2 linked regions of the Stegostoma tigrinum genome follow. The protein of the gene in region 1 purifies or fractionates together with the protein of each later gene. This does not show direct contact. Links are inferred from orthologs where the notes say so. Each region holds a gene or a part of one and is shown on either strand. Other genes may lie near its edges.

Region 1 (7,096 bases):
CAGCTCTTCCTAACTCGATTCAATTTTTTTCTCCCCTTGTTCATTCCCTTCTCACTTAAATCTACAATTTCTCTGATATTTTACATTAGTTTCAAAATTTCTAGTTTGTGGGCTCCTCTCTACCATGGAGATGCAATCCTTTATATGTCCATTCCCCATCAGGGTGGTCACCAGATTCTCCACTTCTTTCTGGAAAAAAGGGATGAACTGTCCCCATTCACCACCACCCTCCTCCACCATCTTCACTCTGCACAACTTCTCAAACTCCTCTTACTTTTTTCAGGTCAGAAGAGTTGCCATAGGTACCCTCATGGGCCCTGGGTATGCCTGTTTCTTTGTAAGGTATGTGGAACATTCCTGGTTCCAGTCAAATCCCAGCCCCCAACCACAATTCTTTCTCTAGAATATTGATGATACCATTGGTGCTGCTCCCCTCTTTCATCCAGAATTGGAATAGTTTATCAATTTTGCTTCCAATTTCCACCCAGCCCTCACCTTCTCCCGGACCATCTCAGACTATGAGATAACAAAGCGTAGTGGCGGATGAACGTAGCAGGCCAAGCAGCAGAGGAGCAGGACACCAGCTCTACACCTTGTCCTGTGATGCTGCTTAGCCTGCTGTGTTCATCCAGCTCTACACCTTGTTATCTCAGATTCTGCAGCACTGGCAGTTCCTATTACCACATCTCAGACTATTTCTACTTTTGGGGAATTGGCTGTCAACATCTATGATAAACCGACCAACCCACACAGTTACTTTGACTATACACCCTGCATCCTATAAAGACTATTCCATTCTCCCAGTTCCTCCATCACATCTGTTCTGAACATGTCAAATTCAACAAGGGGATAGCCATGTTCTTCCTCAACCGAGGATTCCCCAGCACGGTAGCTGACAGGGCCCTCTGCCAGGTTTGACCTATCTCCCAAACGTCAGCCCTCACCCTTCTCTTTCCTACCACAACTGTGATTAGGGTCACCCCATTCACCCACCTACTATCCCAACAACATCTATATCCATTTGTGCCACCTCCAGTGGGATGCCAACAGCAGACATATTCCAATCCCCTCCATTTCAGCCTCCTGCAAAGACCATTCCTTCTGGGACACACTCGTCCACTCCCCCTTCATGCCAAACACTTCCCCACAGCCCCATGGCACCTGCCCCAGCAACCTGAGAAGGTGTAACATCTGCCCATTTATTTCCTCCCTCCTCAGTATCCAAGGACCCAAATATACCTTCCAGGTGAAGCAGTGCTTTATCCACATTTCACTTAATCTAGTCTACTACATTCACCGCTCACAATGTGGTCTTCTCTAATTTGGGGAAACAAAGGGTTGACTGGGTGATTGCTTCAGAGAACACTTACGAGCTGTCCACAAAAAAAAGACCTTGAGCTTCTGGTTGGCTGCCATTTCAATATACCACCTGTACCACCTTGTTACCTGGCCAACATCTTGGTCTCAGGCTTGTTGAAGCAAAGCTCAACATAAGCTGGAAGTACGTTACCTCATTCTCCACTTGGGAACTCTACAGCTTTCTGGGCTCAATATCAAGATCAATTTTAGAGCGTGAGGCACCTTCTCCCATGTCCTTACCCCAACCCTCACACATCAGGCCTTGTTATCACATGGTCTACTATTACAAATAGTCCCGATTAATATCTATATCTCTTAGGATATTCATTATTCACTCCTTTGCCTGTCCAATTGTTCTTCTCTCTCCTTGGGCTCTCTCCCCACCTACTATTTACTCTTAGCCCCTCTCCCACCATACGTTCTACATGAAAACCAACTTTTTCCTAGCTATCAGTTCTGAGGAAGGGTCAATGGACCCAAAACGTTAGTGCTCATTTCTCTCTAGATGCTGCCAAGCCTGTTGAGCTTTTCCTGCAATTTCTGTTTTGTTTTTGATTTCCAGCATCCACAGTTCTTTCAGTTTTTATTTCATAATTTTGTAGATTTTTTAGGTCTGGTTAGTACAAAGGAATGCACATAAGCGATCTGAGGCCTTGCATACTTCACTAGGACAAAACATTTGTAAGTTACTTACTTGTCCACCCAAGTTTAGGAAAGTGAAAAAACCTATCATGCTAAATAAATGCAACCAAGTTCATTTTTACATCCTACAGAAAGAGACTCAGAATTTGCAGATCATCGTTTCATAGTTGCAACAGTATTTTCACGAAGAGACATCCTCATGCTCAGGCAAAAGAGCGTCAAGACAGCGTGGGAGATATGGGGAACGATCATTATTAGGCTTGGTCAAAATTAATTCAAAAATTAACCTTATTATAACCACCAATAATTACCGCTAATTAGTTACTGTTGTAAAATGAAACCAGGATATGATTTAATAACTGAAGTTGGCAAACGAAATCAGGGAACAATGTATTTCATGAATGTTACCGGATGCTTTAAAAAAGCAAATTCACCCTCCAGATAGGAAAAAACCACCCTCGGCAACTACAAAGACCATTTGCCCATGCTGCTCTCAAAAGTCGGTGTGAGTCACTTTATTACCAAGACAGTAGACTGACAGTTTCTGGTTATAGTGTTTGCACAATAATTTGTTGGAGTGGTTGCTGACTGAACTAACTAATTAGACAAACCCCGCCACAATCCACGAGCGGTTCCCACACCGACGGGACATGATTAACACACAGAATCAAGACAGACACATAAGCTGCCAATATACAGACCCAGGTATTGCACCCACCGGTCTACACTTCCTTCCCGGCAGCATGTAACTCGAACCCCCGGGCTGCGGGGTGGAAGCTCCCGAGCCTCGCTCACTCGCCCTCCCGATCCCGGACACTCGTACTACCCTCACCTGGTAAAGCATCGCCCAGTTGCCCTGTTTATCGATCTCCGCGAACTCCTGCTCCATGACTGCAAGCGCGCTGTGCCTGTCTCCTCTCCACTCTGGGCCTCACGCTAACGCTGTAAATTCCCCTTCGCGCTCCGCTCCTACCACTTCATCTCAACTCCCTCGCAGCAGGAGGGCTTCGACCACACACCGGAAACACACACCATCAACCCATGACTGGCACCAGCCCCTACCAATCAGAATACGGAACGCAGGACGGCTTTGCGTGTTGCCTAATGGGAATTGTAGTAAACTGTCCAGGAAATGACGTTTCCTACCAAATCCCAGAGGACTGTGCGGACTAGCGGCCCGAAATACATTGCTCAGTCCGAAAAGTCAGATATTGCTTCATAAAAACGGGGAATTGTTTACATTGGGTGCAGCTCCATACATCCGGGATGCTTTGCTCCTCGATGTTTATACCGCATCCACGGAGGGCTTCGCGATGCCTACTGGGAGATGTAGTTCTTCAATCTCCGATTGTATCCCACGGGCCCTGGTGGCGGGCCAGCTTGAAGATTCTGGAAAGAAAGTCCAGCCGATAATGTGTTCGGGGCTTCGTTAGAGCATAACTGTGTCTAAATCCAAACCAAACCTGAGCTCATGGCAAAGTAAAGTCTGTATGCCGGTAGGTGGATCTAACAGAATTGCCTGAGCTAAGAAACAGTAACCACAATAATGGCAAAGTGATGTTCTTGTATCATTGAACGTTGCTAATGATATGATCAAGTTCATTAATCTCTACTTTATCCATGACGTAAGTGTCCTCCAGGCTGACAGGAAGGATTTGAAAGTCTTTCAGGGTTAAAAACATTTAGTTTTAAAAGAATTATGAAACAATTTGCCAGGTAGCGGGACTGTTTGGAAAGTCCTGTTGAAGACATGAATAAATCAACAATTTTGACTGATCCCCGCGTTGTGTTTCTTTCAGAAAGTTACCCAAGATCACTTACCTGCTGCAGCGTTTCAGTGAAAGGCCAAATCAGTTATTTCTTAACGTAAGCCTAAGAAACAACATGCTTATTGGTTGCTTGGGCACTATCTTCTGCATTCAGTATGAAGTTAAAAATTTCTGGCCATAAACTCTGTATCCTCACTTTATTTCTTTTTCGTTTCAGATTTTTCTCTTTGTCGAGGAAAGGTGATCATAAATGTTAGACCTGAAACATCACTTATGTTTCTCTGTACAGTTGGTGCTTGACCTATTTCAGTTTCAATTTCTGATTTTTTTTAAGTTGCTCTTATCTCTGGAGAGGTACAAATTGAGAGAAAAGGCCACAAAATTGTGACAAGACCATTGAATTCAAATGGTCCTCTCGTCTAAACGGTGGTTCTTCTTAGGAAACTAGACAAATCATGAAAGCTTCATAAATATATTCATCATGAGATTGTTATCATTGATTGTAAGAGATTGAAAAACCAATTTAAAAAAAAAACTTGCAACTCAAAGTTGACGCCCTGAAAGTTTCTGGATATATCTTACTATATTGTTCTAATTTCCAGCTCATTTTAGTATATTATTCAACATCTCTAATCTTTTCTTAATCAGTCACAATTCAATATTTCACCCAACCCCATTCTATGGCAGAGGGACAAATTGCCCATCCCATGAAACTGAAAACTCAACATGATGTGGTTTGTGAGAAGTGTACTATTCTAATTGAACAACTAATTATCTCTTAACCATGATCATTGCATTAGAGGTTACAGAGAGAACCTCCACGGTTTCTTGCTACAAAGATTGAAAAGTATCGCATTAACAAATGATTGTATTCAACTTTAAATGTATGGAAATAAAATACAGTAATTACTGATGATGCAGCCATTTAGCACATAATCTGAATTTTGTAATTTATAGTCTGCAAGACTTATGAATAAAAGTGCAATCAAAGTAATACCATACTTTGGTGATTTGTTCATTGACCATCTTGATTTTTACCAGTGAACCTAATAACATTTTTGTAGTTAATGTGGGCCACAAAATGACTTCTGTAATACAGATGTTAAAGTTGAGATATTAACTCTCTATCCAGGCTAAGAAATCTCTGGATGAACTTCAATTTATCCATTTCCCCAGCTGTGCAGATTGGCCTACAACAGCATTTTAAATAGAAACTGTCCTGTCATCAAGAAAACTTTGATCCAATTATTTCCTAAGTATAGATCATGATAAAAATACAAATGGACAGTTAAGTGTCTTTGATCTCACCATTTTAGTTGCTGACCATTCCAGAAACAAAGGCAACTGACCTCTGAAATTCTTTGGATTTTTCAATGCTAAGAAAATCATATTAATATGTTTGATCTGTAAGTTTTTGGTCAGTTAATCAGATTTTTAGTGTAAAGTTTTTTTGTCTTTCAGACCACACTCTAAGGATTTTACAGAAATTAAAGCAAAATATGTTCATTCCTTAATTCTGGAATATGTAACCTAAGATATCCAACATTTGGTTGGAAGGGCACTTCCTGCTCTCGAGTATCATCAGTGTGCATGAAGTTAATATTTAAAATGCCAAAACGGTGACACCTTACTTCATTTCTTGAAAGAGACATTCAAAATATTAAGGAATCTCAAACCCTTCTGCTCAATGCCTCGCCTCATTGCAACTAGGCAAAGTCTCCACTGGCAAAAACAGAAATGATGACTTGGTCACCATCCAAAGGCTTGGTAAGAGTATCTATCTGGTTGGCAAGGCATAACTAGTGGGGTGGGGGGACACAGGATTCAGTGCTTGGGGCCCAACTAATCACAATCAATGTCAACAATTTGGAAGGAGGGATAGAAAATACTATGACCAAATGTATAGATGACACTGAAATAGGTGATAAAGTAAGTTCCAATGAGGAAGCTTCCAATGACCCTTCCTCACTGGACCTAAAGCGTTAACTCTGATTTTACCCTTCACAGATGCTTCCAGACCTACTGAAGTTTTCGTTAACGTTTTGGGTCCAGTGACGAAGGGTCATTGGAAGCTTCCTCATTGGAACTTACTTTATCACCTATTTCAGTGTCATCTATATGTTTGGTCATAGTATTTTCTATCCCTGCTTCCAAATTGTTGATATTGATTGAGAGTAGTTGGGCCCCAAGCACTGAATCCTGTGCCCCCCCCACCCCACTAGTTATGCCTTGCCAACCAGATAAAGATACTTTTACCAAGCCTTTAGATGATGATCAAGTGATAATATTGCGAGATTATTAATCTAGAAATTAACTGAAGTTTGGGGGCTCAGATTCGAATCCTACCACAGATTTGGAGTTTTTGAAGTATTTGGAGTTAATCTTCTGATGATCACTAAAGCCATTGTTAATTGTTGGAAGCACCTATCTGAATAACTAATGTCTAATACCCTTCAGGGAAGGAAATCTGCCATCCTCATCTGGTCTGACTTACACGTGACTCTAGAGCCATAGCAATGTGGTTGACCCTCTGAAATACTCAGTTGTATCAGTCATCATGAAGTCTCAACAAAGAATTGAAACTGAAAGGACCACCTGGCATTGACCTAGACACTGGAAAAGGCAATAGCAGAAATGTCCCTGTCAACTCTGCAAAGTCCTTCTTAATCCCAGAAATGAGCAAGCTGTCTCATACACCAGTCAAGCAATAGCCTGACATACTCATGGAATCATACTTTACAAACAACATCCCAGATACCACCAAAGCCTCCGCTTGATTTCCCCGATGTAGAGGAAGCTACACCGAGTACAATGGATACAGTATACCACATTGGCAGATGTGCAGGTGAACCTCTGCTTAATGTGGAAAGCCATCTTGGGGCCTGGGATGGGGGTGAGGGAGGAGGTGTGGGGGCAAGTGTAGCACTTCCTGCGGTCGCAGGGGAAGGTGCCGGGTGTGGTGGGGTTGGAGGGGAGTGTGGAGCGGACAAGGGAGTCACGGAGAGAGTGGTGTCTCCCGAAGGCAGACAAGGGTGGGGATGGAAAAATGTCTTGGGTGGTGGGGTCGGATTGTAGATGGCAGAAGTGTTGGAGGATGATGCGTTGTATCCGGAGGTTGGTGGGGTGCTGTGTGAGAATGAGGGGGATCCTCTTGGGGCGGTTGTGGTGGGGGCGGTACCTGTCCGGCTTCCCTGGACCGACCTATCCCCTCCCTACCTCTCCACCTATACTCTTCTCTCCACCTATCTTCTTTCCATCTTTGGTCCGCCTCCCCCTATCTCCCTATTTATTCCAGAACCCTCTCCCCATCCCCCTCTCTGATGAAG
Region 2 (7,411 bases), on another chromosome or scaffold:
TACATATATGAACTTTCAAAAATGTTTGATGAAGAATCACATCACAGACTTGCCAATAAAACTGAAGGCACGAGATTATGTGGATAATGACTGTGTGGACACAAAGTTGTTTGACATAGAAATCAGCGTCATGGTCAAATTTCATTTTTCAGATGGAGGTTTGGAGTGGTGTGTCTCAGGAACACTGATCTTGAATCGTGGGTGAAGGTAGCATAATTTCAGAATCTACAACTGACATAAAACTTGGAAATGTAATAATTAGTGAGAGAAACTTCAAGGCTGCATAAAATTAGTGGAAAGCTAGACAAGGCAATGCGTGAAAGAATGCTTTTTTTTGTTGTTCAAAGAATAAGGAGAATGAAGCGCAAAATTTTAAAGGGCCACTGAAACAGAGAGATGTGAGGGTTCACATAAAACATTTAATATGGTGGCAGGACAAGTTGAAAAATTTGTTAAAAAAATGTATTCGGATCACCGGCTTTATCAAAGTGACAGATTATCGAAGCAAGGAAGTTTGTACGAACCCTCTGAAAAATCACTGGTTCAGCCTCAGCTGGAATCGTGCTTTTAATTCTAAATTCATCAAAATATTGAATGCAAAAGTCGTGGAGAAGATAAAACAGGGAATTTACTAGAATGGTATCGGGGATGAGGTACTTCAGTTTTATGGAGAGACTAACGATGGTAGAATTGCTCATCTTACAGCAGAAAAGGTTAAGAGGAGATTTAACAGATGGACTAGGGATCTGCCCTTGCGGCCTACCCATAATCAAAAAAACAACAGTACTTTGCCATTCTTCACCAAATATTTTCCGAGGGCCTGCTTCAGGCAGAAATTTGAGGAGGAAGAGGTTTGGAACATTGCACATTTGCAGTTATGAAATATCAAGTCAAGAGACATTACAAGTTTAAATCAGATTTCACTTAACAGTGAGGGTGACTTAGGAGACTGGAGATGGAAATAAGTGTGTTTGGCAAAGGCTGAGATTGAAATGAGGATGCAAAATAATGACAAATATTTTCAACTCAAACAGTTATTCTATGCTTCCTTATACTGAAAATCCTTCCAGTTACCAATATATTTCCAGCCTCCAAAATACCTGACCTTATTAACTGATAATGTGCTAAAACAGTAAAATATACTACTGTTTGAGGAAATCTGGTTTCAAGATCAACCACCGGCTATGATGGCCAGTGAGGGTCATAACATGTCCAAACAGTTTTTGTAATACCAAAATGCTTACAAAGGAGGAGTCTCAATAACGGGTCGTAATCAAAAGTTTAAGCCATCTTCCAAGCCCCAGAGGGGCACAACATCATAGACATCAAAGTTACACTGCACAAAAACAGGCCCTTCAGCCCACCTTGTCCATGCTGAGCTGGTTTCCAAAACTGGACTAGTCCCATTGGCCATTCATGTACCAAAGATCTTTTAAATGTTCTAACTGTACTCACCTCTACCACAGGAACTGATCAGATGCTTCCCAAAAATGGCAGGACAGTCAGTAACTGGAGGGTACAAACTTAAAACAGTTGGCAAAAGCACCCTCTGGGGCTGGGGGTGGGGGCGAAGGAATTTTTTAAAAAATATATTGCCAAAATAAATATTACAACTTTTCAAAATGTCTTCAGCTACCACTTCCATCTTGAAGTGACTTCTCCTTCTCCAATCTACACTAGAGGTACCAGCATTTCCCAATCTCTGTGCTGGAACACCTCCTGCTGATCCTCCAGCTTTGTCAGCCTACCCACCTGCTTGCCATCTTAAATGTACAGTGAGCATGCAACAACAAAACTAGAAATTGCTGGAGTAACTTAGCATGTCTGGCAGATTCTGTGGAGAGGAAACAGAGTCAATGTTTCAGGTCAACATTTTTGTTTTAGTTTCAGATTTCCAACACCCACAGTTCTTGATTTCATTTCAATGAACATGCACTCTTGGCCAGCTCATCAAAAATCAGATTATAACATCAGACAACGTAAATCAATGCTGAATCATAGCCTGGAAGTTCATTCAACATTTAGGTCCTGAACCCAGAACAAGCATTCAACCAATAATCACAGGAGGGTGGTGGAATAATGGCAATGTCACTAGACTAGAACCCAGGCCGATGCTCAAACTTGGCGATAAAAGCTAATTTCACAACTCCACTGTTGTAAAAACAAACCTCATCTGGTTCACTAGGTGCGCTTTAGGGAAGAAAATCTGCAGTCATTATTCTGGCCTACATGACACTCCAGAAGATGGCTGATGCTCCAGTTAGCCACAAAGATCAACGACAATGTTCATGCCAGCAATACCGCATCCCATGAAATAAAGGGAACAATCACCGCTAAGTAATCAAGCAATAACCAAATGTGAAGAGTTACGGCACCGTTCTCTAAACTGTATGAATTAACAATGAAGCTGAGTAGTTGGACCATTAAATTGCTCGGTTTTAGTGCGAGAAAGCATTAAATTTTCAGCAATCGCGAACAAAATATTGCAAATGACAGTTTTCTCAATTAATGGTAAAATCCAAAGAGAGGATGAATTAAAACAATGCTTCAGAAAGGTTGCTTTCGACAGTAGATACAGCAAAGCAATAACCAAGTGCCGATGAAGTAAAACAAATCGCACATCAAAGATAATAAAATTACAGCGGATCGCGGGGCCGACCTTTCCTTCAATCAATGTACTGTCATGTGTGTCAGCTTCTGTCACTCCAGTCTTTCCAGATTAAAGTGGCTAGGCCGTTTTTAAATCCCCGGCCTCGAGTAACACGCGACAGGGAACCCGGCTTTCGAATGGTCAGTAAGAGCAAGCGCGATCCTGTACCTGGGGAATGTACCTCTGCCCCGTCTTCGACTCAACGCAAAGAGTACAAAGACAGCTGCCGCTCCGAGCGCAGAGTGTTTGGCTGTCACTAATTTGCTGAAAGCCGCCATTGCAGCACTAACAGCGGTAACGGCGGAGGAACCGGGACAGCGGCGCGAGCGCTGCCGGGACAAGCGTCACTCCAAATGTCAATCATCGTCTGCTAAGCGACCGCAGTTCAGGGCACGGTCAACGCTGAAGGGACTTTCACCTGAACGCAAGTTCTGGGCAAGACGTCACCTAAAGAATTTGCACCTATTCGTCGATTATTCCTTTTAATTCATAACCTTTGCACTGCTAAATCTGAGCATGGGATGCAGTATCCATTTTGCCAATGCATTTAAATCCCGAGTTCTTATTCTCAGATTTATCAACAAAGCTGAAAGACATACTGTGTGTGTGTGTGTGCGCGCGCAAGATAACAAAGTGTGGAGCTGGATGAACACAGCAGGCCAAGCAGCGTTTCAGGCCTAGACACTTCGTCAGAAAAAGGGGATGGGAGAGAGGGGGAGGCGGACCGAAGATGGAGAGAGGAGAAGATAGGTGGAGAGGAGAGTATAGGTGGGGAGGTAGGGAGGGGATAGGTCAGTCCAGGGAAGATGGACAGGTCAAGGAGGTGGGATGAGGTTAGTGGGTAGGAGATGGAGGTGCGGCTTGAGGTGGGAGGAGGAGATAGGTGAGAGGAAGAACAGGTTAGGGAGGTGGGGACGAGCTGGGCTGGTTTTGGGATGCAGTGGGGAGAGGGGAGATTTTGAAGCTTGTGAAATCCACATTAATACCGTTGGGCTGCAGGGTTCCCAAGCGGAATATGAGTTGCTGTTCCTGCAACCTTCGGGTGGCATCATTGTGGCACTGCAGGAGGCCCATGATGGACATGTCGTCTGAGGAATGTGAGGGGGAGTTGAAATGGTTCGTGACTGGGAGGTGCAGTTGTTTATTGCGAACCGAGCGGAGGTGTTCTGCAAAGCGGTCCCCAAGCCTCTGCTTGGTTTCCCCAGTGTAGAGGGAGCCACAACGGGTGCAGCAAATGCAGTATACCACATTGGCAGATGTGCAGGTGAATATCTGCTTGATGTGGAAAGTCATCTTGGGGCCTGGGATGGGGGTGAGGGAGGAGGTGTGGGGGCAATTGTAACACTTCCTGCGGTTACAGGGGAAAGTGCCGGGTGTGGTGGGGTTGGAGGGGTGTGTGGAGCGGACAAGGGAGTCCCGGAGAGAGTGGTTTTTCCGGAAGGCAGACAAAGGTGGGGATGGAAAAATTTCTTGGGTGGTGGGGTCGGATTGTAGATGGCGGAAGTGTCGGAGGATGATGCATTGTATCTGGAAGTTGGTGGGATGGTATGTGAGGACAAAGGGGGATTCTCTTTTGGTGGTTATTGCGGGGACGAGGTGTGAGGGATGAGTTGCGGGAAATGCGGGAGACACGGTCGAGGATGTTCTCGATCACTGCGGGGGGGAAGTTGCGGTCCATGAAGAATGAGGACATCTGGGATGTATGGGAGTGGAATGCCTCATCCTGGGAGCAGACAAGGCGGAGGCGAAGGAATTGGGAACTGGCCCTAAACCCCACCTCTTCCTCCATTACATTGATGACTGTATTGGCGCCGCCTCGTGCTCCCAAGAGGAGCTCGAATAGTTCATCCACTTCACCAACACCTTCCACCCCAACCTCAAGTTCACCTGGACCATCTCCAACACATCCTTCACCTTCCTGGACCTCTCTGTCTCCATCTCAGGCAACCACCTAGAAACCGATATCCATTTCAAGCCCACCGATTCCCACAGCTACTTAGAATACACCTCCTTCCACCCACCATCCTGCAAAAATTCCATCCCCTTTTCCCAATTCCTTCCCCTCCAACCCCACCACACCCGGCACTTTCCCCTGCAACCACAGGAAGTGCTACACTTGCCCCCATATCTCCACCCTCACTCCCATCCCAGGCCCCAAGATGACTTTCCACATCAAGCAGATGTTCACCTGCACATCTGCCAATGTAGTATACTGTATCCACTGTACCCGTTGTCACTTCCTCTACATTGGGGAAACCAAGCGGAGGTTTGGGGACTGCTTTGCAGAACACCTATACACCCAGTCGCGAACCATTTCAACTCTTGTTCCCATTCCTTAGATGACGTGTCCATCATGGGCCTCCTCCACAATGATGCCACCCGAAGGTTGCAGGAACAGCAACTTAATAGTCTGCTTGGGAACCCTGCAGCCCAATGGTATTAAAGTGGATTTCACAAGCTTCCAAATCACCCCTCCCCCCACTGCATCCCAAAACCAGCCCAGCTCGTCCCCACCTCCCTAACCTGTTCTTCCTCTCACCTATCCCCTCCTCCCACCTCAAGCTGCACCTCCACTTCCTACCTACTAACCTCATCCCGCCCCCTTGACCTTTCCCCTCCCTACCTCCCCACACATACTCTCCTCGCCATCTATCTTCTCCTCTATTCACCTTCGATCTCCTGAGTTGCTGCTTGGCCTGCTGTGTTCATCCAGCTCCACACTTTGTTATCTCGGATTCTCCAGCATCTGCAGTTCCCATTATCTCTGATACAATTTCCTCCAAGACATGTCTGTCAAGTACAAAGGTCATGACAATCTCACATCAGCTATCATGGACAGTGAACATCGTCAGAACGCCCTGATCAAGACTGCTGACATGGGGCCTTCACTCTGAGCAAAGGAAACATTTTAGAGACAATGCCGAAAGCCTCCATGAAAATGGGCTCTATCAACTTCGGCAGATGGGAAGCTGATGATTTATTATCAATTCCAATTATCAAGAGAAAACACAAAACGAACATCGAGAGCCGTAGAAAATAAAGAGGATAGCTGTTAATCTTAATAATTCATCCTCCATCAGACTGCAATCAATGCAGTCAACAAAAACACACCCCAGTGAGGAGGACAAGTTTTCTCCCTAGCAGAAATTGACTGACGCATATAGTGACTAAATTTCAGAGGAAGTGCATCCACCTCAAATTGGAGAAGCTAATCCTTCTATTTTTTGTCTTTGATCCCAGCTGAAAGGATCTTTGTGCGTGAGAGATAGTGGGAACTGCAGATGCTGGAGATTCCAAGATAATAAAATGTGAGGCTGGATGAACACAGCAGGCCAAGCAGCATCTCTGATGAAGGGTCTAGGCCCGAAACGTCAGCTTTTGTGCTCCTGAGATGCTGCTTGGCCTGCTGTGTTCATCCAGCCTCACATTTTATTATCTTAGGATCTTTGTGCGTCTTCATTTTCAACTCTAAGGGTACAAAATTAAAAAGGCAATTTTTTTTCGGTCCAGCAGAGGGCAACAGCAAAGGAGAGGCATCACTTCACATATATTAGAGTCTGGAAGCAGACACCAGCAGTGATCCTTAACTCCCACATCCTTACAAGTGGAACAGGCAACTGCCCCAGCCTCCAATCCCTGTACGCGAGATTTCCAAAGGAAGAATAAAAAAAAGTCTTAACTTACCAAACCTCCACACAGTCTTTTTTGGTAGAGGAGGAGGTCAGGTGGGAGACACTACACGTGTAGTGTTTCGGGTTTAGCCAATGCCCAAATTTACGTGTTTCTTCCTAGCTCGCGTTCCCTCCACACACCCGCCGCTGAAAACAAGAGGGCCGCTTGCTGCATGAGGTAAGTTTTTATACAGGGTGAAACAAAAACTACCTTCCTTTCCTGTCAGCACTCTGGCTTGCGCTGAAAACAAGAGGGAATTAGAATGTACGAAGTTGGATAAATCTCGTGGTCCTGACCAGATATATCCAAGAACCCTGCAAGAGACAAGCGAAGAAATTGTGGGGTTCCCGGCTGATATATTTGCATCGTTGTTAGGCACAAATGAAGCAGAGAAGGTTGTGCTCTTATTCAAGAAGAGCTGCAAAGAAAAACCTGGGAATTATAGATCAGTAAGCTTATCATCTGTGGTAGGGAGATACTTGAGACAGTTCTGAGGGATAAGATATAAATGCATTTGGAAAGGCAGGGTTTACTTAGGAGTAGTCAGCAAGTCTTTGAGCATGGGAGATCATGCCTCACAAATTTCTTAGAGTTCTTTGATGAAGTGACCAGGAAGGTTGATGATGGCAGGACAGTAGACGTCTATATGGATTCATTAAGGCCTTTAATAATGTTCCACATGTTTGGCTACTCTGGAAGGCTAGATTACTTGGAATCCAGGTAGAGCTAGCAAATTGGATACACAATTGGCTTGGTGGTAGGAAGTAGAGAGTAATACTGGAAGGAAGCTTGTCTAACTGGAGGCCTGTGACTAGTAGTGTGACTCAGGCATCGGTGCTGGGCCCATTGCTGTTTGTTATCTATATCGATGATTTGAATGAGAATGTACAAGGCTTGATTAGTAAGTTTGCAGGTGACACCAAAATAGACAGTGTCCTGGACAGTGAGGAAGGTTATCAGAAATTGCAGCAGCATCTTGATCAGCTGGGGTAGTAGACCGGGAAATGGCAAATGAAGTTTAATGTAGATAAGTGTGAGGTGTTGCATTTTGGAAAGTCAAATCCAGATAGGAGTTTCATGGTGAAGGGT

The links. Proteins that work in one complex are often made in the same cells at the same time.
Region 2: the proteins of tyrosine-protein phosphatase non-receptor type 1-like (region 1) and abcd3a purify together in Homo sapiens (affinity purification with mass spectrometry; 3 studies listed by BioGRID and IntAct, with this or other methods). This does not show direct contact. The link is inferred for Stegostoma tigrinum from reciprocal best matches to the Homo sapiens genes PTPN1 and ABCD3.

Annotation. Positions count from the first base shown.
Region 1 is NC_081372.1:40,247,020-40,254,115, reverse strand, and holds the start of tyrosine-protein phosphatase non-receptor type 1-like, read right to left. Parts: upstream 3,007-7,096; 5' UTR 2,891-3,006; coding exon 2,834-2,890; intron 1-2,833. UniProt on the Homo sapiens protein: Tyrosine-protein phosphatase which acts as a regulator of endoplasmic reticulum unfolded protein response. Mediates dephosphorylation of EIF2AK3/PERK; inactivating the protein kinase activity of EIF2AK3/PERK.
Region 2 is NC_081361.1:84,453,334-84,460,744, forward strand, and holds the start of abcd3a (ATP-binding cassette sub-family D member 3a), read right to left. Parts: upstream 3,002-7,411; 5' UTR 2,929-3,001; coding exon 2,819-2,928; intron 1-2,818. UniProt on the Homo sapiens protein: Broad substrate specificity ATP-dependent transporter of the ATP-binding cassette (ABC) family that catalyzes the transport of long-chain fatty acids (LCFA)-CoA, dicarboxylic acids-CoA, long-branched-chain fatty acids-CoA and bile acids from the cytosol to the peroxisome lumen for beta-oxydation.